Macaca mulatta: one gene and its partners. The protein of the gene in region 6 interacts with the protein of the main gene of each other region in a pairwise test. Links are inferred from orthologs where the notes say so. Each region holds a gene or a part of one and is shown on either strand. Other genes may lie near its edges.

What was found.
Region 1: the proteins of KAT5 (region 6) and CCDC136 interact in binary tests that used the Homo sapiens proteins (3 or more experiments, as listed by UniProt). The two-hybrid records come from large-scale screens. The link is inferred for Macaca mulatta from reciprocal best matches to the Homo sapiens genes KAT5 and CCDC136.
Region 2: the proteins of KAT5 (region 6) and STX11 interact in binary tests that used the Homo sapiens proteins (3 or more experiments, as listed by UniProt). The two-hybrid records come from large-scale screens. The link is inferred for Macaca mulatta from reciprocal best matches to the Homo sapiens genes KAT5 and STX11.
Region 3: the proteins of KAT5 (region 6) and ZC2HC1C interact in binary tests that used the Homo sapiens proteins (3 or more experiments, as listed by UniProt). The link is inferred for Macaca mulatta from reciprocal best matches to the Homo sapiens genes KAT5 and ZC2HC1C.
Region 4: the proteins of KAT5 (region 6) and ODC1 interact in binary tests that used the Homo sapiens proteins (3 or more experiments, as listed by UniProt). The two-hybrid records come from large-scale screens. The link is inferred for Macaca mulatta from reciprocal best matches to the Homo sapiens genes KAT5 and ODC1.
Region 5: the proteins of KAT5 (region 6) and LZTS2 interact in binary tests that used the Homo sapiens proteins (3 or more experiments, as listed by UniProt). The two-hybrid records come from large-scale screens. The link is inferred for Macaca mulatta from reciprocal best matches to the Homo sapiens genes KAT5 and LZTS2.
Region 7: the proteins of KAT5 (region 6) and APBB1 interact in binary tests that used the Homo sapiens proteins (3 or more experiments, as listed by UniProt). The link is inferred for Macaca mulatta from reciprocal best matches to the Homo sapiens genes KAT5 and APBB1.

Annotation. Positions count from the first base shown.
Region 1 is NC_133408.1:168,424,754-168,429,034, forward strand, and holds the start of CCDC136 (coiled-coil domain-containing protein 136), read left to right. Parts: upstream 1-1,481; 5' UTR 1,482-1,512; coding exon 1,513-1,570; intron 1,571-1,981; exon of another isoform or gene 1,982-2,175; coding exon of another isoform or gene 2,176-2,218; intron 2,219-2,349; coding exon 2,350-2,457; intron 2,458-4,281. UniProt on the Homo sapiens protein: May play a role in acrosome formation in spermatogenesis and in fertilization.
Region 2 is NC_133409.1:49,410,910-49,415,169, forward strand, and holds the start of STX11 (syntaxin-11), read left to right. Parts: upstream 1-1,460; 5' UTR 1,461-1,555; intron 1,556-1,980; exon of another isoform or gene 1,981-2,287; intron 2,288-4,260. UniProt on the Homo sapiens protein: SNARE that acts to regulate protein transport between late endosomes and the trans-Golgi network.
Region 3 is NC_133412.1:148,262,367-148,266,604, forward strand, and holds the start of ZC2HC1C (zinc finger C2HC domain-containing protein 1C), read left to right. Parts: upstream 1-1,438; 5' UTR 1,439-1,817; exon of another isoform or gene 1,818-2,236; intron 2,237-2,618; 5' UTR 2,619-2,637; coding exon 2,638-3,966; intron 3,967-4,238. Other genes in the region: ACYP1 (acylphosphatase-1), read right to left, coding at 1,276-1,438.
Region 4 is NC_133418.1:114,369,730-114,372,588, reverse strand, and holds part of ODC1 (ornithine decarboxylase), read right to left. Parts: 5' UTR 2,755-2,859; intron 2,650-2,754; 5' UTR 2,633-2,649; coding exon 2,531-2,632; intron 2,257-2,530; coding exon 2,083-2,256; intron 1,869-2,082; coding exon 1,696-1,868; intron 1,441-1,695; coding exon 1,306-1,440; intron 1,182-1,305; coding exon 1,100-1,181; intron 920-1,099; coding exon 836-919; intron 1-835. UniProt on the Homo sapiens protein: Catalyzes the first and rate-limiting step of polyamine biosynthesis that converts ornithine into putrescine, which is the precursor for the polyamines, spermidine and spermine.
Region 5 is NC_133414.1:113,059,187-113,063,377, forward strand, and holds the start of LZTS2 (leucine zipper putative tumor suppressor 2), read left to right. Parts: upstream 1-1,391; 5' UTR 1,392-1,634; intron 1,635-2,030; exon of another isoform or gene 2,031-2,297; intron 2,298-2,945; exon of another isoform or gene 2,946-3,375; intron 3,376-4,191. UniProt on the Homo sapiens protein: Negative regulator of katanin-mediated microtubule severing and release from the centrosome. Required for central spindle formation and the completion of cytokinesis.
Region 6 is NC_133419.1:8,680,893-8,684,898, reverse strand, and holds the start of KAT5 (histone acetyltransferase KAT5), read left to right. Parts: upstream 1-1,206; 5' UTR 1,207-1,440; coding exon 1,441-1,618; intron 1,619-1,948; coding exon 1,949-2,017; intron 2,018-2,104; coding exon 2,105-2,241; intron 2,242-2,503; coding exon 2,504-2,686; intron 2,687-2,775; coding exon 2,776-2,850; intron 2,851-2,956; coding exon 2,957-3,031; intron 3,032-3,677; coding exon 3,678-3,926; intron 3,927-4,003; coding exon 4,004-4,006. UniProt on the Homo sapiens protein: Catalytic subunit of the NuA4 histone acetyltransferase complex, a multiprotein complex involved in transcriptional activation of select genes principally by acetylation of nucleosomal histones H2A and H4.
Region 7 is NC_133419.1:59,372,656-59,376,155, reverse strand, and holds part of APBB1 (amyloid beta precursor protein binding family B member 1), read right to left. Parts: intron 1,940-3,500; 5' UTR 1,926-1,939; coding exon 1,205-1,925; intron 1-1,204. UniProt on the Homo sapiens protein: Transcription coregulator that can have both coactivator and corepressor functions. Adapter protein that forms a transcriptionally active complex with the gamma-secretase-derived amyloid precursor protein (APP) intracellular domain.

The DNA of each region.
Region 1 (4,281 bases), on a different chromosome or scaffold from region 6:
GACACAGGCCATAAAGACCTTGATGATAAAACAGCTTGCAATAAAGAAGCCAGCCAAAATCCACCAAAACCAAGATGGCAGTGAGAGTGACCTCTGGTCATCCTCACTGCTACACTCCTACCAGTGCCATGACAGTTTACAAATGCCATGGCAACGGCAGGAAGTTACCCTACATTGTCTAAAAGGGGGCGGCATGAATAATCCACCCCTTGTTTAGCATATCATCAAGAAATAACCATAAAAATGGGCAAACAGCCGCCCTTGGGGCTGCTCTGTCTATGGAGTAGCCATTCTTTATTCCTTTGCTTTCCTAATAAACTTGCTTTTACCTTATTCTACGGACTTGCCCTGAATTCTTTCTTGCGTGAGATTCAAGAACCCTCTCCTGAGGTCTGGATCCGGACCCCTTTCCTGCAGCGGGGGGAACGCAGACAATGTGAGTGAATGTGCTAGAGAAGGGATCTGCGTGTGTCCCTGGCTTAGGAATCTCCCAGCCATTTCCTGGATGTGCTGGGGAGCCCCTGTTGCGAACTGTACCCACTTCTATCCTTGCTGAGACCTGCCGAGATGTGAGAACTGCCTCTTCAAAAGCCGGCACCCAGTGGACATAGCTTGAATAAAAGAATGGTGGAAGACGTGAAATAAGCCCCCTGGGCTTCCAAATCTCCCTTCCACGAGAGTGAACATCAGTCGTGCCCACTCTCGCGGGCTACAGTGGGGGCGTGGCTCACAGCCCACCTGGTGTGGGACCGGAAGGGAAGGCAGGGCGGAGGAGAGGGGGTCTTCGGGCCCTGAGGCTTGGTGGGGCCACCGGAGGGCCCCCCTAAGAGGGTCCCTGGCCCTGGTTCGGTAGGGGGTCGCAGAAAGCGGAAAGGTCAGGGCCCTGCCGTTCGCCCATCAGGGCCTCGACTTCCCTCCTCCGGCCCCCAGGCTGCCGAGGGGCCACCGGGCAGGGCTGAGCAGGGCCTGAGGCCGGAGTCCGCGCCGACTGCTTGGTGGGGGCGCCGGCCGGGCGGGGGAGGGAAGGAGGGAGGGGCGCGCGTGTCTGTGCGCTTGGAGGAAACAGTCCCACCTCGTCCTTTGCTGTCCCCATTGCTGAGCATGACTGGGCCCTGACACCTGGTGCAGAAGGGTCCCTGCGCACAGCAGATCCCGGGGGGATCTGCTGCCAGAACCAGGGGATCTCGCTCCTCCCTCTTGGGACAGCCTTAAGCCTAGGAGCTCCTGACACTGTCCGGGCCCCGCAGCTCCCCACGCTCCCTCGGGGAGAGACTTGGGGCGTATCTGGGGTCGCGCTCACCCTCCCAAGCCGCCCCCTGCACCGGCTCGGAGCTCCCGAGTGCTGGGAGGGCTTCCGGGCGGCGGCGAGCGGCGGGGGGCGGTGTCAGGAGGCCCGGCCAGGCCCCGCCCCCTCTCCCGCCCCCCCCCCCTTCCTGCGCACCCGGCTCGGGTCCCCGGGCTCGCGGCTGCGGCTTCTGCTCGGGGAGGCGTAAGGCGGCGGCGGGAGCGGTCATGGAGGCGGGCGCCGGAGCCGGCGCGGGAGCCGCGGGCTGGAGCTGCCCGGGACCAGGTCAGAGCCGCCCCTCCCTCACCTCTCCACCGCCCCTCCTTTCTCTCCTCCATCCCTCCTCCCTCCAGACCCCCAGGTGCTCCTGGCCTCCGCGGCTCCCCCTTCTCCGCCCAGAGTCTTCCTCCCTCCATCCTGGCCTCCACCGGGGCCCGGTCTCCATCTTTCCGGCCTGGGGCTGGGGCTTCAGCGCACCGGCCGCATCCTGTCTGGTGGTCCCTCCCCAGCGCGTCTCTCCACTCCAGTCCAACGGTGCTTCCAGCCTTCGGGGCTCCAGACCCCGCACCTCCTGCAGCCCCGGAGATTCCTGAGCGCGGGGCGAGGGTGGGGTGGGCAAGGTCCAGCGAGAGAATGAGAGGGGAGGGGAGGGGAGCGGTCGCTGCCCTACCCCTTCCCACACGCCCCCCACTCCTCCCTCCCTCCGTAGGCCACCTCACCCTTTCAGCCTCTTCTTCACTGGCTCCCGCCCTCTTTCTGTCTTGCCCCTCTCCTCCCTGTCTCCCTGGACTAAATACGCACACCCCCTCTTTCTGTGCAAGCAAGAGGGGCCTGGAACAGGGGGTTCTGAGGAGGCTGGGCGTCAGGACTGGGGTCTCCGCAGGCAGAGCATGAGAGGTGGTGGAGAGAGAGAGGAGTCGCAGAGACGGGAGAGTGAGTCAGGCACCTCCACTGGGATTACAGATCCCAGAGCCCCGAGGAGCTGGAAGGCATGTCCCCTTCTTTGCACCCCAGCCCGCAGCCAGTCCCCCATCCCCCAGCCCTTCCTTTCTCCGTGCTCTCAGGACCCACAGTGACCACTCTAGGCTCCTATGAGGCCTCTGAGGGCTGTGAGAGGAAGAAGGGCCAACGCTGGGGCTCCCTGGAACGACGAGGGATGCAAGCTATGGAGGGTGAGTTTTCCCAAAAGGCTTCTTTCTTTCCCTTCCCCTCCTCCCTTAATTCCCTTTCTTCCTCCCTTTGACCCCCAGGCCTCTAAGCCGGGACACAGCCCTTCCCTCAGTTCATCTTAGCCCCTCTTCCTGCAGCTCAGAGCGCCAGCCCTTCCCAGGGCTCAGGCTTTGACGGAAGTTTAGGGTGCATCCCTTCGGGACCCCAGTCAACCCCCAGCTAACCAGGTTGTGTGTCCCTAGGGAGCTGCCAGACAGAGAAAGAGGCCTGGTTGGACAGAGCTTTGAAGCAGCCTTTCAGCAGGGGGTTTGTCCTCACTGCCTGCCGACCCAGATCCCAAGCTGTCTCTTATTATAAAAAGCCAGGAACTGGGCATGTGAATTGTCTTTCTGGGGCCACCACCATTAACTTCGAATGGAAGCCTGTGGCTTTGGTTCTCTAGGATACCTTACTGCCTGAAAGAGATTGCCTAGGAGGGGGCGTGTGAGGCCATCCTCCCAACACACGTGTATCCCCACCACACCCATGTGACTTGGCAGTTGCTGCCAACACCAGGCCCCTGGAAGGACGCTGGTCCATTTTCCAGGACTTTCTGTGAAGTATTGCACGTTGCACATTCAGTATGGGCAAACCTGCTCCCCCTAAGAGGGACAGATGGCACAAGGGGTCCCAGACGAACCTAGGGCTGCTGATGTTAGATAAAGTAAGACCAGAGATTCAGAATTTTAAAACAAAGCAAACAATCATCATCCAGACAACATTTTGCTATTTATAGGGACTGCATTGCAGTAAAGGAGCGGGTGCTCACAACCAGAGGCTGGGGGCCAGCACCAAACCCCAGTTTTTTTAATGCATTAAAATAGCAGGCTTTCTTTTACACACAAGTACAGCCTAAAACTTCCCCTGAAAGCTGCTTTGTGGTCAGCAGAGTAGGAGGGGCTTCATATGGCTCAGCTAGGGGAGAGGAGACTTTGTGACATGCAGCAGGGAAAAACAAGGTGGACCTTGTAGAAAATTTCAAACAGGTATTTAATAATATACATTTGAAAGGGCACCAGCGTTTATCCAATGAAACCTCTACAATCAGATATTTTCTTTCTCTACCTGCTGACAGGCAATGCTTTCTTATTACGGAAAGGCTGATTTTTCACAAGCCACCTGGATAGTGTTTTGTTTGGTTGTTTTTGTTTGTTTGTTTGTTTGAGATGGAGTCTCACTTTGTCGCCCAGGCTGGAGTGCAGTGGCTCGAACTCGCCTCCCTGCAACCTCCACTTCCCATTTTCAAATGATTCTCCTGCCTCAGCCTCCCAAGTAGCTGGGATTATAGGCATGTACTACCACGCCCAGGTAATTTTTTTGTATTTTTAGTAGAGATGGGGTTTCACCATGTTGACCAGGCTGGTTTGGAAGTCCTGGCCTCAAGTGATCCACCCACCTCAGCCTCCCAAAGTGCTAGGATTACAGGCATGAGCCAGCATTCCCGGCCAGTTTTGTTTTGTTTTGTTTTGTTTTTGTTTTTAACTTTTGAGAAATCTCCAAACTGTAACTGTTACCCCATTTGACCGAAAGATCCACTCACTGTCTCCTTTCTTGACTACTTGTCCTGCTACTCAGAGGCCAGCCTAGAAGAAGCAGGTAATCCTGTGCAAGTGTCTCATGCTGAGCGGGCACCAGCCTGCCCACAGGCAATGGTGGGAGGCTACCATGTGCAACATTGGTCCAGGAAGGGCCTGGGAGGTGGAGGGGCTGCCTCTCAACTTGACCCTCACACCTGAGGATTCATCTTGAGTATAGGTCTTGCCCAGAGGCACCTTGGGGGATACCAG
Region 2 (4,260 bases), on a different chromosome or scaffold from region 6:
TTTCCCCTTTCCACATTGTACTATTTTGGAGGAAGTCACTGTGCACAGCCTAGGGTAGATGATCTACATAAATTATTTGGAATTATTCTGTATAGGAGATTTGTCTCCTCTCTGCCATTTATTCATTTATTTATTTATTTATATCAGTGTAGACTCATGGATATTTTTTACTTTGGTTTGTAATCCAGTACTACTTTGTTCAGTTTACTTCGTTGCTCAGTGGTTCCATCTTTGGCAACTGGGAGCTCTTTCAGGTGGTTCCTGTGTTTAAACATTCTCCCATCAAGACAGGATTCGTTTATTTTTATTTTTTATTTTTTTTCTTCTCATTCAATTGAGGCAGCGTCTCATTCTGTCGCCCAGGCTGGAGTGCAGTGGCGCGATCTCGGCTCACTGCATCCTTGGCCTCCCGGCCTCAAGTGATCCTCCCACCTTAGCCTCCCGCGTAGCTGGGCTCACAGCGCGTGCCACCACGCCCAGTTAATTTTTTTTTATTTTTTGTAGAGATAGGCTTTCACCATATTGCTCTGGCTGGTCTCAAATTTCTGGGCTCAAGAGATCCGCCCCCTTCGGCCTCCCAAAGTGTTAGGATTACGGGCATGAGCTACCGCGCCCGGCCCGATTTTTCCTTTCTTGAGTATCACTTCCTTACTTTTCAGCCTCAGCCTTGTTTTTCAAGGTGCTTTACCATCACCTGACACAATCCACACTTTATGTTTATCTCTCCCCGTTAAAGTGCCGGGACCTGGAGGGAGGGTCTTGGCAGTGTTTTTGAGCGCGGTGTTATCCTGGGAATACAAGGGGCCGCTCAGTTGATATCCAGGGAATGATGAGCCTGGCGGGTGTTGAGGCCGACTGGAGATGGGTTGGCCGGCCGGGTTCTGGGAAGGCTGTGCTCGGCCTCTGTGTGACCGCAGGCTCCTCGCCCGCCTCCTCGAGGGTCCCGCGGATGCAGGACCTGCTGCAGCCTCCGCAGCCACACCCACGCTCAGAGACCGCTTCCAGCGTCCTTGCCGCAGAAACGCACCGGACTGCAAATGTCACCGGCGCAGCGGGGATTCCCGGGGAAAGTCCATCGCACTCCCTGACCTGGGGACCAGAGGATGAGCGGAGGAAGTGTCTTGGGCGGCTAACATCCCACTCCCTGCGCCGGTCTGCGCCGCCCCCGGGAACGCCCCGGGGCTCGCGGGAGGGGCTGGAGCGAGTCCCCGGCTCCGGGCGGTCCCGAGCGCACGGACTCCGGGTGGGGCGGGAACCCGTGCTCTGTGAGCCGGCTGCTGCCGCGCCCCGGCGCTGTCATCCCGGGGCGGGGCCTGGTCCCCAGCTGTGGTAGCTTCCTAAGCGGCGGGGGCTGAGCCGGCGGCGCCCAGATGCGGCCGCGGCGGCGCGGAGCTCGGGCGGCTGTGGAGGAGCCCAGCCTCGGCCGCAGGAGGCGCCGGGAGCAGAGCCGCCGGGAGTCGCGCAACAGGTTTCCTTCCCCATCGCGGCGCCCACAGGGGACGCGCGCCCTGCGGGGAGAGAGGCTTCTCAGTTCGCGCTCTCGTTCCGGGTCCAGGTTTGTTTTTCTCTCCCTGAGCCCCCATTTCTCTTTCTGACCCCCCATTTCTCTTCCTGACCCCCCATTTCTCTTCCTGACTATTCCCCGTGCGCTGAGAGATCCGGGAGGCGGGCGGGGGCACTGTCTGGGCTCGGGACCCGCGGCTGCGCCTTAGTTGGGATTTTGGATCTGGCGCAGGTCCTCACGCCGCCTCTGGGCACCTTCGGAAACACAGGATTGGGTTCCTCATATAAAGCGGAATGATTTTTTAAAATTACTTTTAATTTCAGAGGCTGAGGGATTTAGGATTTAGTGCTTCACAGGAATTATTTTAGGGATACCTGTCGGTAGGCTGCCTTTTTAAAGTGTCCACCTAAGACTATTTTATTTTAAATCGAAAGACTGAAGTGTTTTTGTGTTATCACCTCTTCACTTCCTATTAGGGTGACTGTGTCAAAAACACCAGAATGGGTACTTCTTGACTTGAACTTGGCAGTGTCACTCAGTAGCCAAGAAAGACGGAGAAATTGATAGAGCCTTGGAGCAGTCCCTTCGCAGCCCACGTAAGACTTTGTTTTAGAAAAATGGAGAGAAGTAGTGGCAATGCCTGCGAGAACCACGCCGTCCTGAGAGGGAATTCTGCCTTTTTCTAGACTCCGCTGACACCAGCTGAGATCTGTATTACTTCCTGTGGTTCTCACGCGCTTGTTTCAGCCGTTTCTCAGCAAAGGGAGGAGCTGTTATTTACAGGTATCCAAAAATGAGTCACAGGGCTGCTCTCTTAATTGTGAGACTTTGTTAATGAACTTTTGAAAAGCGAGGCTTGCTCTGTCTGTATTTAAAATGAGACTGTAGATGTGAAATGCCTGCCCTGCTGACCTGGGGCAGTGGTATGGGAAGTGACGATTGAGTTTTCAGTTTCCTAAGGCGCCTGATGTTACAACATGCCAGTAAAGGTCACTGGGTTGATTTAAGATAACCACTAAAATCATGTGCTTTGCCTCAGAAGCCCAGGAGAAAATTAATTTCATTATTCAATGACCATTTTGCTACCATTTTCACTGAATAGTAGAAATGTATCATTTAATGTGGTGATTGTAACTCTCTAAAATCAAAATATTTCAGACAGTGTGTGTTTACTAAATTGATGCCAAAACCACATGGTGCTTTTTGAAGCGGGTGGGTCCCAGCGGGAGCAGAGAAATTTAAAAGTTGAAGCTGACAGGCCCCACTGTGGTGGGTAGCAGCACCTAGGAAGGGACTGCACACTATCTCAACACGGTAGAGAAGGGAGCACCATCTCTACTGGAGCTGAGTTGAGCTGAATTCAGTCCCAAACAACAGTTAACAGGTACTTTCTCTGTGCCAGCCTCTTCCCTGAACCTTGCTTGTACAACCATGAATAATAGGATCCTGCTGACAAGGTGCTAGGGTAAATCTATACCCAGAGTGAAGTTTCTGTCCCAATATAACTCAATCTGCTGGGTTCCAGTGTATTTAAAGAGTAAACTCAGCAGATTACCATCCCTAGATCATTGCAGTCACCTTTAGTTAGCAGCGTGACTTTTAGGAAATGGTATGACTAATTAATAGGTTGTTTTGTTTTGTTTTTTGAGACAGAGTCTTACTCTCTTGCCCCACACGGGAGTGTAGTGGTGCAATCTTGGCTCACTGCAACCTCCTCCTCCTGCGTTCAAGCAATTCTCGTGTTTCAGCCTTCCAAGTAGCTGGGACTACAGGCACCCACAACACCCAGCTGACTTTTGTATTTGTAGTAGGGACAAGTTTGGCCCTGTTGACCAGGCTGGTCTCGAACTACTGACCTCAGGTGATCTGCTTGCCTTGGCCTCCCAAAGTGCTGGTATTGCAGATGTGAGCCACCATGCCCTGCCTAATACTTTATAAATTTGTAACACTATATTGAAGCAAGTTTTTGATCATTGTTTTTGTAGTTCAAATCAATGTTTTTTAGCACATTATAGCCTTGTGAGCCAAAATGAATAAATCTACCATATCACAGTTTACTGTTACAATTGAAATCTGCTGAGACACTTTTGAACTTGATGCCCAAGTATCAAGGTTTCCAAGTTTCCACAGTTTGCTAAGATATCCAACTAATAAAGGCAACACTGCTAAATTTCAGACAACTTTACCTTAATTTCCAAACTTTATTCCTCCTTTGAAAGCCCTGAAGTTACTTTTTCTATGACAAAGGGTTGAGTGTGTCATTCAGCATTGTACTCCCTGAACTTGTCCCAGGCTCGACTCATGAGAAGTGTTGGAAAGTGTCATTCAGCATTGTACTCCCTGAACTTGTCCCAGGCTCGACTCATGAGAAGTGTTGGAAAGTGTTTATTGATGAAATAATGAACCTTCATGTAGGAGGATGAATTGGCAGGCAAGTGGAAGGCTCAGTGACCCAGCAGAAGGAACAGCACCCATAGAGAAGTGAAACAGCACTGGACATTCAGGAAACTCCAGCCTGTTTAGTGACAGCACAGAGCGAGGGCTGGGGAGACAGGAAGGGCCAGATCACAAAGGCCCCATGAGGGTTTATAGTACTGAGCCCTTTGAACAAGTGAATGATATTGTCAGGTGTGTGTTTAAAAAATTATAACAAAAATTGGAATTTAAAAAATCTTAGATTAGATGACAGTGGCATTGACTTTAGGGAGACACCTTGGAAACTGTTGTCATATTGCAGATGGGACATTAAAGAAGGC
Region 3 (4,238 bases), on a different chromosome or scaffold from region 6:
TCGAGGCTGCAGTGAGCAGTGATTGTGCCACTGCACTCCAGCCTGGGCCACAGAGTGAGACCCTATCTCAAAACAAACAAAGTCCGGGCGTGGTGGCTCATGTTTGTAATCCCAGCACTGTGGGAGGCTGAGGCAGGCGGATCACCTGGGGTCACGAGTTCAAGACCAGCCTGGCTAACATGGTGAAACTCCATCTCTACTAAAAATACAAAAAATTAGCCAGGTGTGGTGGCAGACGCCTGTAATCTCAGCTACTCGGGAGGCTGAGGCAGGAGAATCACTTGAACCCAGGAGGCGGAGGTGGCAGTGAGCTGAGATTGCGCCACTGCACTCCAGCCTGGGCAACAGGGTGAGATTCTGTCTCAAAAAACAAACAAATTTTAAAAAACCCTCAAAACCAACAAAACAGAAAACAAAAACAAAACGCTGGGGTAAAGTGATGGAGTCAATTCCCGGAGGGTACTGAAAAGCACTAATTCAAGAGAACTCATGGAAAGTGGCCCTTCTTTCTCATAGAGGAGAGGGAAGGAGAGAGGGAGAGAGACAGACAGAGACAGAGACAGACAGAGACAGAGAAGAAAGGGAGAGAAGGAAGAGGAGAGAGAGAGAGAAAGAGAAAGCCCGTACATTCTGCTGAGGGAAGCTGCGGGAGTTGATAATTGGGACCCTGAGTAGAGTGGCAAACATCTGGAGCTGCATATATGTAGAGGTGGTGCAGGCAACAAGGGATGAAAACGAGGAATTAAAAAAAAAAAAAAAAAAAGAAAAAGAAAAGAAAAAAAAAGAAGGACTGACCTGGAGGGTCCACCAAGGAATTTCTTTGTAACAGGTAACAGCTGTAATATGACATGTTGAAGTATTAACACTGATGACTGCTTGTCTACATTATTTTCCAAGTGCATGAATTGAGTAGTTACAGGGAAAAAGCGAACTGCCTGTTCCCAACGTCCTACACAGATGAACTGAAACGAAGAAAAAAAAATAAACTTTCTTTTGATGTCAACAAGTTACAGAGTATCATTTACTGTTGAAACCAGGTTATACTGATTATTTTCGATCTGGTAGTTCTTTATTATCATTACACTTGGCTGAGTCATTCCTACGCCCTAAGTACAGACGGCTAGAGTTACCACGTGAGAGTAAAACATTATAATATCAAAATAATTAGATTGGCCACAAAAATTACCCCGGAAAGATACTGCGTAGCAAAAACGTTGGCAGCAAGTTCCAAAGACTTGGCGACGACAAGCAGGGAGCGCGCACGTGCAGCCATACCTGGGGCCCGCCCAGCGCAGCCAAGCGCGCCGAGAAAGGTCAGCAGCAGCCCCGCTCCCACCAGGCAGGCGGTCGCCTGCACCCTGCGGCGGAAGCACGCGGAGGCACAGCCAGGGCCTCCGCCCTTTGCCAGTGAAGGGCACACCCCAAGGTCTGGGAGCATCGTTCTCAGGAAAGTACAAGTTCTTCTTTGATGGAGCCCCAGAAAAGCCTCTCCCGCCCTTCCTCGGCTCCCCAAGGGCAGGGCTGGACCCGGCTGCAGAGTTGGCCGGACACTGACTGGGTCAAGTGACGGTCGGGCTGACCGCACCCCCCACCCCCGGTCGCCCCGGGTCGCTGGTGCACTGCGCCTGCGCACGCCTCCCCAAGGAGTTCGCAGCGAGGGGCGGAGCTTGGCCCGCCAGTAACTCGGTCTCCAGGCACCGGGAATAACAGAAGCTAGCTGAGAGCGCCTGCGCGGCCGTCGGTTGAGGGGGAGGTCGGGTCTGGGAAACTAGGCCCTGGGGTTTTCCCTGAGCAGGAGCGGTGCCCGAGGGCCTCAGGTACGCAGAAGGGCGGGGAGACAGAGGGTCAGCACCTCCTAAGGGCCCGAAGGGCAGGAGAGAGAGAGGACTTGTCCCCAGAGGCGGAGTCCGTAGTGGGGGCGCCCCAGTTGACCCTTCGGGACAGAACGTGACTTCAGCCTTAAGGATCTAAAACCGGCTGCAGCCAGGTCAGGTGGCCCTCAACGCTCAGGTTACAAAACTTTTACCGTCTGCGCCACGGGGACTCCTGAGATGAGGGTTTGACAGCCAGGCACCTGCTCCAGGCCCTAGCAGCCTCTGTGCTCTTTTGAATCAAGCACGGTTCCAGCAGGAGGGAAGCCCTGAGAGCTCTTTGTGCCAGTCACTACCTCTGGGCCACAGCTTGCTCACCTGTAAAATGGTGAGGATGGACTCGGACGGAACCCTTCAGTTTACAGGTGAAGAAACGGGGGCCAGCAAGGGAGAAGTCGCTTGTCCTGTTACAGGCCTAAAACCTGACTTTCAATCCGATGCTCTTTCCACTTACTGTAGAGTATACTGTGCGTGGCAGAGGCTGGTGCTGGAGGAGAGGAGAGCTAGGTGGCAGGAACACCTGTAGCACCTCCGTTTCTCTACCCTCAGGGCCTAACACAGTGTCTTGTGCATAGTAATCACTCACCAAATGGTTTTTGAAGGGAAGCTTTGGCAGATCCAGCACCACTGTCCCCAGAAAAGTTTAAGGAAATGTGGGCAGGGCAAATGTAGAAATAGTTTGCTTTAGCAGACGAGAGTGAACCTCAGACAAACTCTTCGCATGTATCTGGTTTAAATCTCCCGTAGGCATCAGTCCAGGCCCTGAATGGCTGGTCTCCAGCGGTTGGCATCACATCTGCCTGTGGGCGTTATGCTTCCACATAATACAACAGAAGCTCCAGGGCCCCACTCAGCCAAGCAAGACTCTTACGAACAAAGTGACTCTTCCCAGCAGTCCTTGAAGGGGCACCTGAGGAACAATTTCCAGAAGCAGCTTTTGAGCAACAAAGAGTTGACTCTGGATAAAGTCCACACTCACCCCAAATGGAACACAAAAGCCCGGAGCTACTCCTATCCCCACTGTACTGGAATCAGCCACCAAGATGCAGGAAGTGATTTCCAGGGCCAAGTAAAACAAATTTACTCATCAGGCCCTCAATCCTGGTATCCCAAAGCCAATAACCAGGACTTTATCCCCTTTACAAAGAAACGAGTTGGAGTGGACCGGGCGTACCCACTGAAACCCGTGGTCCACAGGAAGTCGTGCAGTACAGGTGAGTCTGGCACTGATGGGGACCAGAATGTCTACCCAAGGCCCCCTGAACTGAGAGAGTTTTCATCCAGGAACTTTGATGTGAGGAACCAGGTCAACTTTTCTGTGGTTGATCCTGTTCTTGCTGCCATGCAGGCGGAGAAGGCCTTGGCAAACTTGGACAGGATGGAGTGGGTGCAGATCCGAAGACTAGAAGCTGCAGGGGAGAGCTTAGAGGAGGAAATCCGAAGAAAGCAGATTCTCCTGAGGGGAAAGCTGAAGAAGACAGAGGAGGAACTCAGAAGGATCCAGACGCAAAAGGAGCAGGCCAAGGAAAATGAAAACAGAGAGCTACAGAAAATTATATTCCCCAGGAGCAGAGTTAAAGGTAATAACAGCAACACCACGCACAAAGCTGTCTTCTCCCCAGAATTTGATTTTGAGGAAGAATTTAGTAGAGACAGGAGAGAGGATGAAACTTGGGAACGGTCTCAACAAAATTCGAGTCCATTCCAGCTCTCTGATTATAGAATTCAGAGACTCAAAAGGGAAAGGCTGGTAGCAAGCAATAACAAAATTCGAGACCGAGTCTCAGAGCCGTCGATGGAGAAGTTCTCCCCGCCTTCAGAAACACCAGGCGGTGCTTTGCAGGGATCTGCCAGAAATTCCAGCCTGTCCATGGCACCAGACTCCTCAGGTTCCAGCGGCTCCACTGAAGAGCCACAGCTGGGTGAGTGCAGCCACTGTGGGCGAAAATTCCTCTTGTTCAGGCTGGAGAGACACTCCAACATCTGCAGCAGGATACAGGGTTCCAAGAGGAAAGTGTTTGACTCCTCCAGGGCCCGGGCTAAGGGCACAGAACTAGAGCAATACTTGAACTGGAAGGGGCCAGCTTCAGCCAAGGTAACAAGAGCCTTATGGATGTGACTTGGTGTGGGGATCATTGTAGGGGTCTGTTTTGTCATCATCAGTTTTCTTTAGGGAAAATTCATGTGTCATGTAGGAAGAATTGACGTCTAGAATTAACATTTCTTGATTACTACTGTATGCCAGCATTGTGATGGGAGCTTTGCATGTGATCCTCGCATTTATCTCTCATTTTATCAGTTCAAAAATCAAGACTTGGACAGGCTAAGTAACTTGCTTGAGGTCACAAACAGCTTTAAGTGGCAGAG
Region 4 (2,859 bases), on a different chromosome or scaffold from region 6:
TCTCCTTTAGGATGTTATGGGTATGATTTTATCAAAGAACAGTACATAACAAATTACTACCTAGGAAGGCATCAAGACGTCAAAACATTCTTATTTAACAAATACATGCCAACAGGATAAATATCCTATTCTGCCTACGTCATTATTTTAACAAACCACGTGGATGCATTTTATAAATTCAAGCACCAATATAATGGCTTAACTTCCTAAGTGACTAAACATTTCAAATATTTTCAGGAGAGGAAGCACAGATCGAGCAAAGCACATTTGGGGTGATGATGTGCCACTGTTAGCATATTCTCCAGGAAGCCCACAGCAACATGTTTTTTCTTTTTTTGGAGACAGGGTCTCACTCTGTAGCCCAGGCTGAGAACAGTGGCATGATGATGGCTCACTGCAGCCTCAACCTCCTGGGCTCAAGTGATCCTCCCACCTCAGCCTTCCAAGTAGCTGGGATTACAGGTATCCACCACCACACCTGGCTAATTTTAAATTTTTTTGTAGAGACGGGGTCTCACTGTGTTGCCCAGACTGGTCTCAAACTCCTGGGGCTCAAGTGATCCTACCACCTCGGCCTCCCCAAGTGCTGGATTACAGGTGTGAGCCATGATTTCCAATGTAACTAATGATCCAAGACTTCTGGGAAAGCTGACTCACACTTTAGAAAACCAAATGATATCAAGTGCAATGTTAGACATCACAAAGAAATCACTCAAAGTATCACACCAAGACACTTCAGCCCATTTTGGTACTAGTTTAGACACTTAAATTTTGAAATATTCCAAAAAGGAATTTATTAAAACAGCTACTGCGTATTAGTTTTGTTCTAAATTACCTCTTCAAATTTAAGCTTCACATCCTCAGATCCAGGAAAGCCACCGCCAATATCAAGGAGATACATGCTGAAACCAACCTCAGCCTAGAATCAAGAAAATCAGTCAGTCAGATCCACAGCTAATAAACAACAAAAACGTATGCAGCAGATAGGCTGAAACCCATGTAACACAGGACCAACTGCCAGAAAAAGTTAGCTCTAGAATTAAGACTAGTTATTGTCAGTTGTGCCCCGCCCTTTGCTAACGGGGTCACGTATACTCACCCCCATGTCAAAAACACAGCGGGCATCAGAGATTGCCTGCACGAAGGTCTCAGGATCGGTACAGCCGCTTCCTACATGGAAGCTGGGGGTAAAATAGAGACAAGACACTGTGTCTTAGTATTTCTTAAAACAATAGCAAACACTAGGAGAAAGGCTGTAAACCTCAAACTGTTTAATGACCTTCAGCTATCCCACCAAGATCTCACCTGACACCAACGACATCGATATTCAGCTCTTTTGCCCGTTCCAAAAGGAGCCTGCTATTTCTGAGCGTGGCACCGAATTTAACACTGAGACGACAGACTGCTTTGGAATCATCAGTGGCAATCCGCAAAACCAACCTACAAGCAAGGAAAGTGCAGCAAATGTCTCATGATAGATGTTCACTTACAGCCACGATTAAAATAAAAACAATCCTGTTCTAAACACTGTCGCTGATATATTCTGTAGTTTGAGTCCCAGGCTTCATGACTCAAGGAGAGTTTCAACTTTCTACTAAAGTACAGAAATATAATCATCAGAAAATTAAGTTTGTTTGATAAAAATCCACGTATCTTATGCCCCTGATCTTGCCCTCAGATGGGGGAATAACTCACTTTGCTTTTGGATGTGCTCTGGTAACTTTCATCAACTCAACTTCACTATCAAAAGTCATCATCTGGACTCCATTATTAGCAGCATACTTAATTTGAGATACTTGTTTACAAGGATTTGCATAGATAATCCTCTCTGGAGGCACCCCCAGATTCTGCACCAACTGTATTTCAGTCTGAAAAACAAGAGTGGTGTCGTGCTGTCCATATGTGGCTTAACAGGTGAAATAAACAGAAAAGCATAGGAAGTTGTGATGTGCCCCGCCCCACCCCCACCCACCTGCCTTTAGTGAGCATTTATTGCCCAAAAAACACAACTTGTATCTGCCCTGTGGGGAATACCAGGACCGTTTTATACAACTGCTTTTGAGTCCTGCTGCTATTACTTACCTTGCTAGCACAGTCAAATCCTGTCCCGACAGCAGCAAGGGTCTTCACGATGGCTTTGCTATCATTACATTTGACTGCATAAAAGGGGGTGACACGAGGGAGAGCTTTTAACCACCTCAGATGTTTCTTTAGAATGTCTCCCAGGTCTGCCACATAGAAGGCATCCTTATCATCCTGAAACAAGAGTGGTCACAGGTGACTCACTAGCAGTCTCACCACACACCACACCAACAGCCATCGACCTTCTTTCCCATCAGTCACAATGAATCCTGCTCTTTTGAGTCTAGCCACTGATATGAATATCACTATTAATTTACCACCAGTGAATTAATTTCTACATTCCGTAACAAGACACAGAAGCCTCACCGCTCTTCCTCAGACCTTGCCAAAGTTTTCCACTTGCCTGGCATTCTCAGCTGCACTGCCAGCATGGGTCTCATATACTTACAGAAAAAGAAACTTCATTAATTTTTTGGTCCAGAATGTCCTTGGCAGTAAAACCTTCATCGAGGAAGTGGCAGTCAAATTCTTCATTACCAAAGTTGTTCATGATTTCTTGATGTTCCTCTGAAATGCAACAAAATGCAAATAGAGCGGAGAAATTCACTCAGAAGCCTTAGCAATACAATTCTTAAGATTAACCTGCAACCCAAATGTAAACTGAACACTTACATGGAAAACTAAGAGATGGAATTCAAAGAAATATTTCCAGCTTCTCACAAAGGCAACTCTCCAGGAATTCCAAATCCCTCTGCGTGTGCCCTTGGAGCAGCAGTG
Region 5 (4,191 bases), on a different chromosome or scaffold from region 6:
CTTCTAGTAGACATCCCCACACAGCACAAACCAGAAGGATGAGGTGGAGGGGAAGCTAATACTCTCCCCAGCCCCACCCCCTGCACAAACACATTCTACTCCATACCTGCCTTAAACACCCACATCATGATCGGGCCCAGCCTGTTCAGATCCCTGGATTCTAGAAAGCAGTGGGGGGTCCCTAGGGCCTGTGCAGATTCCCTGGGATAGGACTGGTCTGCCTACACCCAACTGGATGTTAAGAATCTCCCTGACTCACAGGTTCAGTGGATTGGGAAGAAAAAAAAAAATTCAAAAACATTTCCCCGAGAACTCAGGAAAGGCCTGGCTAAGCCAGGTCCAGTTGGATCTACAGCCTTGTCCTCTAACTGATAGTGTATGTCACACTTGGCTATGAGGGGGCAGCTTTGGTCCTCCAGCAGCTTCCTCTCTGCTGTGGATGGGTTTAATAATAAACAGCTCGGCCGGGTGTGGTGGCTCACACCTGTAATCCCAGCACTTTTGGAGGCCGAGGTGGGTGGATCACGAGGTCAGGAGTTCGAGACCAGCCTGGCCAATATGGTGAAACCCCGTCTCTACTAAAAATACAAAAATTAGTGTATTTTGTATTTTTAGTGGCGTGGTGGCACATGCCTCTAGTCCCAGCTGCTCTGGAGGCTGAGGCAGGAGAATTACTTGAACCTTGGAAGCTGAAGTTGCAATGAGCCAAGATCGCGCCCGCTGCATTCCAGCCAGGGCGACACAGCGGGACTCCGTCTCAAAAAACAACAACTCACCGAGGTCTCCAGCAGCCCATATGGCCCAGATACCTAAAGACCTTCCCACATGCTGCCTTGAGTGCCATGGCGGGTGGGAGCCCCTGGGGCCTCCCTGCAATACAGGACAACTTCCTGTTTGTGCCTGTGGGTAGGATTTTATGAGTCTAAGAGAAGCCCAGTCATGCCCCGTGGGGGGTCAGAACCGGCAGGCCTGCTCACCTGGGCAGACACCTACTCTAGGGAGGGGGCTGTGCTGGTTCTGCTTGGGCAGCCCCACGCTGAGGTGTGTGCATGGTGGGGGCAGGTGGGAGCTGCTCTGGTGAAACTCGAGCCTCCTTTGTCTGATTCCCAGGGGTTTTCCCTATATTTGGGGATTGGGTCAAGAGTGGACCGGGTTGGGCTCCCAACGGAGCAGGGAGGGTGGCAGAGTCAAGTTCTATAGGGCAGCTTAGTTTAAGGCAGCCAGGTAGTCGAATTATCGGTCACGAGATGCTCGCCCCCTTCCCCACGTCAAAAACCAAATCCAGTAAACTGTGAAGGCGAAGGCCAGAGGGGCAGCCTCGGCCACCGTCGAGTCCCTGTGGGGCTGGGAACTGGGTAGGCTGTTGGTGGAGTGCGGGACAGACCCCTCCCCTCCCTGGGTGGGGGGCGCGGCCTGAGCCGCCCCGCCCCGCCCCACCAGGTCAGGCCAGGCGGGCGCCCGGAGCCGGGAGCCGGGAGCCCGGAGCCGGGAGCCGGGAGCCCGGAACCCGGAGCCCGGAGTTCGGAGCCCAGAGTTCGGAGCGGGCTAGGGAGGCGGCGTTGTCGCGGCAAGGAGGTGGGCGCGCTGGAGCAGGAGCGGGGCCAGAGCTGGAGCCGAGGCGCAGGTGGCGCTGGGTGAGTGGTGGGGCCGCGGAGGTGCAGGAACTCCTGCTTCCCGCACATCCCCGCTCCTGAACGAACTTTCCGCTTCTGGGGAAGCTAGGGGTGGAGTGAGGAGGGGGGTCCGCACTTGGTGGGTCGCCCGCGAAGAGTCCAAACAGGGAAGCGACACGAAAACGCACGCCGACGGGCCCCAAACACGCGTGCACAGACCCACGCCCGCACTTGGGACACGCGAACACACATGCAGTCGGAAAGGACGCGCCCAGTTTTCTACCCTTGCACTCCCAGGGACAGCGCCAATCAGCCCGCGCGGACCCACAGCGGGCAGGGCACTCTGCGGTCGCGCATTGGGTGCGGGAAAGGGGCAGCCCCGTGACCGCCGACGGGGGCGGGCCGGGTGGGACGCACCCAGAGGTTCCTGCTTCCTGGCCGCCCACAGGTGAAGACGAAGACGTAAACAGGCGCCGGGCACGTGACAGCTCCGCACACCAGTGGCCTGTGCCCCCAACCCCACCACGAGGCGCGTTTGCTTGGTTCCAGGCCGGACGGCGTTCCATTCTCCTCCTGGAGCCGGGATAAGCCCTCTCCCAGGAACCGGAGCACAGCGCCCCCTGGAGCCGGGGCGGAGCAGGAGGGCCGGGCTGCTGGGCAGGGCTGGGGTTAACCTGGGCTCCTGTACGTCCTTCCCCCAGCACATTCTTGGTATCTGCATCCCCGAAGGTTTCGGAGACAGGCCCTTGATGGCAGTGGACAGCTGCCCCCGCCTATTCCCGCCAGCCCAGAGAGCAGCTGCCTGAGCGCCTGCGGGTCCCCTTCCTACCCTCACCTCCACTCCTTGCCGGAGTAGGAGTCTCCTCCCCCGCAGAAAATGCATGAGTGTAAACGCCCCCTCAATACCAGAGTGGGCCTAGACCCCTAGAAAAAGGAGGACGAGCCCCTGCCCCCAGGGAATGAGGGAGTGGGCAGTAGCTCGATGCCTTCTTCCCGCCCCACCCCCTACCCCTACACACACGCTGAGCCCAGCTGCCGCCTGAGCTGGGCAGGCTGCCAGAAAGGGGAGGAGGTTCTCGGTGCCCCAGGAGGCAGGGATCAGGGCAAGGCCAGAGGAGGGGGCTCTGTTGGGGAGAGGGGCTCAGTCTGTTCTTGTGAGGCTGAGGGTCTGGGGTGAGTCTGAGGGTGGCTGGGCTGTGTTTCCCTTTCCAGGGAAAAAGAAAGAAAAACAACCCTGTCCATGGAGCTAAAAATAGAGCTGAGAGCCGGCCAGGGCTGTGGCCTGGAAGGGGGGGATGCTCCTTCCTGGGGCCCGGGCGAGCTCTGGCAGGCCTTGGCCCTGCGGGGGAGGGGGTGGTTAGGGGAGAAAGGCTGTCTTTGCCCAGGGATGCAGGCATCAGCTGACCTGACCGGGTCACCGAGACCCCTAGGGGAAAGGCTGTGCGGTAGAATATTTGCGAAGCATGGCTGTAAGAAGTTGTCTGTGTGAGTGACTGTGAATAGAGGCTGTCAATGCGTGAAAGATGGTTAGGAGACTAAGTGCATTTGAGACAGTGACTGGGTGCGAAGGACTGCGGATTGTTGTGGAAGCCTGTGCCCAACAGGCCTGTGACACCGTGTCTGTGTGTGAGTTGGACTGGAAGATTATGGAAAGAAGGAACGCGGACCCACGTGACAGCTGAGACTGCTTGTGGCTGCGTGGTGAGGCTGCATGTGGGAAAGGTCGCGTGGGTGTTAGGGAGACTGTATTGTGTGCGAGAAGGTGAGAATATTTGCGACCTTGAGAAAGTGGAATGTTGTCTGCCGTGCGGCTCCTGTAGGTTTGGGCTGTAGGCTTGGACCGGTTTGCCCCAGTGATTGTTGGGGAGCCAGGGGCCGCTTCTCTCCGAGAAATGACCTCTGTCTTAGCAAGCGGTCCCGAGGGGAGGCTGGGGAGCACGGGGCCGCGCCAGAGGCCGGCCTGGGTTCGCGGGGAAAAGGGCACCGTACCGGGGAGTGGGTCAGGGCCCGCGTGGTGGGGGGCGGCTGGGTGTGTTCTCCGAGGGGGCCGCCAGGTGGCGCCGCCTCTGCGAAGCCCAGGTTGCCGCCTCCAACCCGCCCCTGGTGAGGCAGGTGCGGACACAGCCTCGGCCTCCGACTCGCGCTAGGGCGCGGGGCCCCGGCACCGGAGAGTGGGGGACGGCCGGTCGTCGACCTCTCTCGCTTGGGACTCTGAGGCTGAGAGCGTGTCAAGGAAGCTTCGCTTGGAGAAGCGGAGGGGGAGGGGCGGCCGCCGCCGTGCCGTGGCCCTTTGTGCTGGAACAATGACCAGCTGCCGCTGGCCCCGGGGCCCCGGCTGGGGCGGAGGGTGACCACCGCCGCCGCCGCGTCGAGCCGAACCGAGCCGCCGGACACGCAGTCACAAGGCGTCGGAGGCAGGGCTCCCGACTGCCGCCGAGCAGCCCCTACGTGCGCCCCGGGCGATTCGCGTGACGCGGGTGCCTGCGCGTGTCCCTGCGCGTGTCCGCGTCCCGGGGCGGAGACGCCCCTCGGACCCTCCCCCGCGCGGCGCCGCCCACTCGCACTGGGCGGGGGCTGG
Region 6 (4,006 bases):
CTCTGTCAGCCAGGCTGGAGTGTAGTGACATGATCTCGGCTCACTGCACACTCCGCCTCCCAGGTTCAGGCCATTCTCCTGCCTCAGCCTCCCGAGTAGCTGGGACCACAGATGCCCGCCAAAACGCCCGGCTAATTTTTTGTATCTTTTTTTTTTTTTTTTTTTTTTTGTAGAGACGGGGTTTCACCGTGTTGGCCAGGATGATCTCGATCTCCTGACTTCGTGATCCGCCCGCCTCGGCCTCTCAAAGTGCTGGGATTACAGGCGTGAGCCACCGCGCCCAGCCGTTTTGTCCAATTCTTTAAGATGCCAAGAATCTGGACACCCTCCACCAGTGACATCTTCACAGTTCTGAGGAGTATTCATGGGGTATTTTGTAGAATGTTTCTCAATTGGTATTTGTCTGATCTTTTTCTCATGATTAGGCTGGAGGTAGCTGGGATTTCAGGTGTGAGCCACCATGCCCAGTCTCCAAATCCTGTTTACGCAAAAATTTTTAAAAATTAGCCAGCCTTGGTAGTGCGCGCCTGTAGTCCCAGCTACTCAGGAGCCTGAGGTGGATCACTTGATCCAGGGAGGCGGAGGCTTCAGTGAGCGGAGATTATGCCTCCCCCGCTGCACTCCAGCCTGGGCGACACAGACCTTGTTTCAAAAAAAAAGCCTAATATGGCTGGGCGCCCTGGCTCACGCCTGTAATCCCAGCACTTTGGGAGGCCGAGGCGGGCGGATCACGAGGTCAAGAGATCCAGACCATCCTGGCCAACATGGTGAAACTCCGCCTCTATTGAAAATACAAATATTAGCTGGGTACTCTGGAGGCTGAGACAGGAATATTCGCTTGAACCCGGGAGGCGGAGGTTGCAGGGAGCCGAGATGGCGCCACTGCACTCCAGCCTGGCGACAGAGCGAGACTCCGTCTCAAAAATAAAAGAAGCCTAATACACGAAATAAAGCTAGAAATCTTCCCTGAGTCCTCCTGCCTACGGAATGAAGTCCACAGACCTGGGGGAGCGTTCGAGCCCCTCTAAGCACAGTTCCTTTCTCCAGCCTCTCGCGCGCAGTTCACTCCCGACAACACCTCCCGCCGCCACAAGGAGACGCCCGAGGACTGCCCTCCGTCAAAGCCCAAACGGTATTGCCACGTGACCCGCTCCGCATCCACGTGAACAGCGTCGCACCCGGTGGGCGTCACGTGACAGACTCAGTAGTTCTCCAATCGCTGTGCACGTTGTGGGGTTTCCACCTAGGACTCGGCCTGAGGCTTGTAACACTTCGTTTTCCCAGGAGTCACAGGGGCAGTCTTGCCCCTTGCAACTGGGTCGCGGTGACTCTCAAAGGTCCCCCTCTACAGGGGCTTCGTGAGGCCCGGGCCTACAGCGGGCTCGGTCCCGGAAGTGACGTCTCCCACAGGGGCCGGAAGTGGCAGTGGAGGGAGGGAAGATGGCGGAGGTGGTGAGTCCGGTGCCCGGGGCGGGGCGGAGGGAGCCAGGGGAGGTGGGTAGAGCCCGAGGCCCCCCAGTAGCCGACCCTGGCGCCGCGCTGTCTCCCCAGGGGGAGATAATCGAGGGCTGCCGCCTACCCGTGCTGCGGCGGAACCAGGACAACGAAGATGAGTGGCGTGAGTGACGTTGGGGGGCGGGGCTAAGGAACCTGAGGGCGAGGGGCGGGAGGGAGTCAACTGAACCCCCGGGATGGGGAGGGGCCTCTGGAATTATGGGGCGGGCGGGGCGCAGATACTCCCATGAAGGGGCGTGGCTCTTAGCTGCTCCGAGAGGTACAGGGCGGGGCCTGGAAAGGGGTGGCAGTAGTGACTGAAGGAGACTTAGGAGAGACCTTCTAAGTGCTGGAGCTTAGGGATCCGGCCTTGGGGTGGAGTTCAGGTCGTGGAAGGGTGGAGTCTCAGCCTGGCCCGGCCCGTCTAAGGCCCCTGCCTATGCTATTCCCATAGCCCTGGCTGAGATCCTGAGCGTGAAGGACATCAGTGGCCGGAAGCTTTTCTACGTCCATTACATTGACTGTGAGTTCTGGGCCTGAGGTGGGGCATCAGGGTAGGGTTGGGGAACAGTCTTTGGCATTCTGTCCTGAGCCATCCCCACTGCTGCAGTCAACAAACGTCTGGATGAATGGGTGACGCACGAGCGGCTGGACCTAAAGAAGATCCAGTTCCCGAAGAAAGAGGCCAAGACCCCCACCAAGAACGGACTTCCTGGGTCCCGTCCCGGCTCTCCAGAGAGAGAGGTGGTGAGTAGGTCCCCCACTTCACCTCTTCTCTCCTGCCTCGTGTTTCTCTTATCTGTTGGCATTAGGGGCTCCTGGATGGGCAGTAGGCGGCTCCCTCTCACCCTGACTTCATCTTGCAAAGGATGGGGGCCGAATTGCACATGTAGCTCCCAGAGTCCAGTAGCTAGTCCTGTGTCCTTCAGAAGGCGAGGGTGGGGTTTGATAATTTTGAGCTGAGGGACCCCTGTTCCCCTTCCCCATTCCACTGCCATCCCCGCCCCAGAGGAAGACCCTGGACCTATCTCTACAGCCGGCCTCGGCCCAGGCAAGCGGGAAGACCTTGCCAATCCCGGTCCAGATCACACTCCGCTTCAACCTGCCCAAGGAGCGGGAGGCCATTCCCGGTGGCGAGCCTGACCAGCCGCTCTCCTCCAGCTCCTGCCTGCAGCCCAACCACCGCTCAACGGTACCCTCAGCAATTCCAGGGACCTTGCTTTCTTCTCAGGTCCCACCTTCTCTACCTTCTGACCCACCTTTGTTGGTTTCTCTCTGCAGAAACGGAAGGTGGAGGTGGTTTCACCAGCAACTCCAGTGCCCAGCGAGACAGCCCCGGCCTCGGTTTTTCCCCAGGTGAGTTTCCCAAACCATTTCTTGTTCCCTTTCTCTCTTCTACTCTCTGGTGGCCTTTTTCAGGCTCATCTCACAGCCATCCCTTCTTTTACTACTATATCTGCAGAATGGAGCAGCCCGTAGGGCAGTGGCAGCCCAGCCAGGACGGAAGCGAAAATCGAATTGTTTGGGCACTGATGAGGTGGGTCTGGGGAGCAACAGAAGGAGCTGGGTGAAAAGGAAGGGATGCAAGCAGGGTGGAGAGTTAGTGATGAGTTTAAAAATAAAGAAGGGGTGGTAGGCGGGGCTAGTGTTGGTGGGATTAGGAGCCAGGCAGAACATGGTTCAAATGAGTCATTGGGGCTGGGTGCCATGGCTCATACCTGTAATCCCAGCACTTTGGGAGGCCAACCAAGGCGGGCAGATCACCTGAGGTCAGGAGTTCGAGACCAGCCTGACGAACATGGTGAAACCTTGTCTCTAATAAAAATACAACAATTAGCCAGGCGTAGTGGCAGGCACCTATAATCCCAGCTACTCAGAAAGCTGAGGCAGGAGAATTGCTTGAACCCCAGAGGTAGAGGTTGCAGTGAGCCAAGATCATGCCACTGTACTCCAGCCTGGGCAACGGAGTGAGACTCCATCTCAAAAACAAGGGTCATTCAGTGATCTTTTCCACATCATCAATCCCTTAGGGTTTCAGGTTTTTTATCCAGAAATTGGGGATCATGGTACCTCCCCCATAGGGTTGCTGTTAGGCTTGCAGGAAACCTGTCAAAGGGCTGTGAGCTGTGGTGTCCTGCTGAGCTGTCTCTTCTAACCTGGTATTTTCCACTGGCCCTGGGCAGGACTCCCAGGACAGCTCAGATGGAATACCATCAGCACCACGCATGACTGGCAGCCTGGTGTCTGACCGAAGCCACGACGACATCGTCACCCGGATGAAGAACATCGAGTGCATTGAGCTGGGCCGGCACCGCCTCAAGCCGTGGTACTTCTCCCCGTACCCACAGGAGCTCACCACATTGCCTGTTCTCTACCTGTGCGAGTTCTGCCTCAAGTACGGCCGTAGCCTCAAGTGTCTTCAGCGTCACTTGGTATGAGGGGTCCAGGGAAGCTGCCTTCCCAGCACTCTCCACGTTGCCCTTGTTCCTGACTGTCCTCTCTTCTCCAGACC
Region 7 (3,500 bases), about 51 Mb from region 6:
TGCCCAGGTTGGTCCTGAACTCTTGGGCTTAAGCAATCTGACCATTTTAGCCTTCCAATATGCTGGGTTACAGGTGTGAGCCACTGCACCCAGCTGTAAACATTTATAAATAAAAGTATTTGCTTCAGAATAACCTACGCTGGGCCTAGGAATGGAAGACAGCATGTAGGTAGCAAGATTAGTTATGTATTGATAATTGGTAAAACTGGGTCATGGGTAAATCAGGCTCATTATTCTTTTCTCTCTACTTTTGTATATGTTTGAAAATGTCCAGAATGAGTTTTTCGAACGGGGATGGTGTGCAGCCCTAGGCTCATTTGAACTGCATGTTCTCTACAAAGATTGCACAGTTTGGGGTATGGGTATGGTGTTCGCTGCCTGGTGAAGATGGGGATCTTTCCTAATCTTTCTTAGACCCCCATCTACAGAACTCCAGGGTTGTGACTATAGCCCATTATCTCCATCCTTTGTTCCTCAGCTTTTCCTGTATTCTCTACATGACATTAGAAAATGTGGAGACTCAGCTGATTTAAATGGGACATATTTAATTATTAAGCCCTGGAATCCTAGTATCTACTCTCCTCCCCCTACCCAAAGCGTTTTCTTTTCTAACTTTTAGTCAATATCCTACTCCTGACAGCAGCTCCCCACAGACGTGACCTGTTAAAACGGGGCAGACTGTCCCAAGTGCACCTAAGTGCACTGTGCTCTGTGCTGTGGTGGCAGTGTAACACAGGGCCAAGAGCTCAGACCTGGACTCAGACCTGGTCTAGATCTCAGCTCTATTGTAATCTCAGCCTGTCTGTGGTCTTGAGAAAGCTACTAAACCTCTCTGGGTCTCTTTTTTGTTATCTGTAATATGGGGATAATCATAGTATTTACCTCACAGCTTTACTGTGAGGATAAAGCCTGAAAATGCTGAGTAGAGGGCCAGTTACCTAGTCAGTGCCCAGTAAACAAACTAGTCCACTTACCAACCATGGTGGCATGCATAATGAACAGATCTATCCATCCAGGCATGCATGATGGTCAGATCTACCAGAATGTCCAAGCACTCTCTGAACGAGAAAGCCTGGACATGGCCTGCTGTGGCCTCAGGACATGGGCTTTCAGCTCACATCAGGCTGGCACTGGCCTCTATATGAGAGGCCTAACCTCTGCCCTCACACCCTCCCACATGCCCATGTCAAGCTCCACAAGGTACCTGTGTCCTCTGGGGAGCCATAGGAGGGGCTGCCCTGGGATAAGGTAGCCCAGCTTGAGTCCTCGTCACTGGCTGCACTGTTCCGCATGCCAAACAGCAGGCTGGCACTCTTGCTGTGTTCCCGGGGGCCATCTGTAAGGGCTTGGGGCCTGGGAGGGGCCTCCACACTCTCCAGGGTCTCAGGCAGCCCTGGGGGAGAAGATAAGTCCTCCTCCTCCTCTTCATCATCATCCTCCTCCTCCTCCTCCTCAGCCTCCCCTGCCGCCTTCTCCTCTCCCTCATCTGGCCCCTGCTCTTGAGTGCTGATGATCAGGCCAGGTCCTCGTAGGCCTCGGTTGGCCGCGTTGTGGGCTGAGAGCTCCAGCTCAGAGTACAGGTGTATCAGGCCTTTGGGGCCCAAGGGTGCCATCTCAGGCTCCTGGCTGGCCTCCTCCGCCAAGGTCAAGGTCACATTGCGGTTCTGGTCACGGTGGGCCGTGGCGGCCCGCCGGAGTTGGTTCTGGCCCTCTTTTAGCCACTTGGCATTGGCAGGGCCTGGTTCAGGCCCACCACCCTCCCCCATGGCGCTACGCAGGTCCTTGGGTCCCACAGCTGTGGCCTGCAGCTTGGCGTTGAGTAGCTGGTTATGGGCAGCGTGCAGAGGCAGGGGTAGGCTCAGTGTGGGGCCTCCGTGGCTGTTGGCATTAATGGCCGACTGGCTCAGTGATGATGGAACAGACATGGCCTTGGCAGCTCCTGTGGGGTGGGGAAGGGAGATGCTGTTGAGCCTCTGGTCCAGAACAGCAGCATCACTGCTTCTGCCCCAGGGCTACGCCCTGTGCCTCCTCATCTCCCTGCACTAAGCAGGCTAGCACCCATGGCTCTCTATCCTATGAGAATGACTGGGCTCATCTTCTGTCCCAGCACTATCGTCCCCATCACAGGCCAGGCCCAGGTCTGAGGCTCAACCCATCCCTATATCCCCTGCCCTGAGCTTTCTGGGATGGCACAGCTGGTGCCTGCTCCGCCCTCGATCCCACCAGCAGGGCCTCCACACAATGGCTCTCTGTGCCTCCCCACCCCCCAGCTCATCCACCCGGGGCTTACTGTGCCAGGAACACCACTAGAGTGGGACTGGCTCGTGTGTTTTGGACACTGATCACTGACTGCCCCTCTCCTGCTGCACTTCCATCCCAAGCCCCACCACTGTAAGCTCCTCCGGCTGTGTTCCTATTCCCATAAGTCACTCAGCTCAACCAGCCCCCAAGCCCACCCCATACTAGGGACTGTGAGGACAGGAGGAAATAAGCTGCAGAACCAGCCCTACAGGGCATGGCACAGGAAGGCAGGTCACAGAGGGAGGGTGCTCGGTTGCAATTCACGGCTCCGCTGGCCAGATGAAGCTACATCTTGGTGACAATTTCCATGAAGTAGCTCCCCTTGGGCACCGGTCCCTCTGCCAGCCCTTATAATGCCCTGTCCTGGATCACTATGGGAGCCTTTCCCCTGGGCCCTTCAGCCTTTCAGATCTTTGCTTTTTGGGGTTTTTGTTTGTTTGTTTTTGTTTTTGAGATGGAGTCTTGCTTTTGTCACCCAGGCTGGAGTGCAATGGCAGGATCTCAGCTCACTGCAACCTCTGCCTCCCGGGTTCAAGTGATTCTCCTGCCTCAGCCTCCTGAGTAGCTGTGATTACAGGTGCCGACCACAACGCCCAGCTAATTTGGTATTTTCAGTAGAGATGGGGTTTCACCATGTTGGTCAGGCTGATCTCAAACTCTGACCTCATGATCTGCCCACCTCGGCCTCCCAAAGTGCTGGGATTACACGCGTGCACCACTGCGCCCGGCCCAGCCTTTCAGATCTTTGACCAAATGTCACAGCCTCAGTGAAGCCTTCCCTGAACACCCATTTTAAAACCACAGGCTACCTCAGTCCCTCCTCAGCAATCCCTAACTCTTCCCCAGCGCCTGTCACCATCTGACAAGCCAATTTGTTATTTACTTTGTCTAATGATTGTCTCCTCAAGACTACAATTTATAATCTCCGTGTTGGTGAGGATTTTGCCTTTTTGGTTAAATACAGTATGCCTAGTGCCTAGTGTAGTCTTGGCACAGAGCAGGACCTCTATTAATATTTGTTGAATGAATGTATGAATCAGTCCCCATTTCCTCCAGGCTTCGCTTTGGCCTCTCCTCTGCCAGTGTCAGAAAACACTTTGGTTATGTTACTGAGCCTCATGGTGCCCCACACAAACTCCACCTGCCTTTCAGGGAAGTGGACGCCCTGTTCTACAAGGCCAGCTCCCCTCCCGACACCT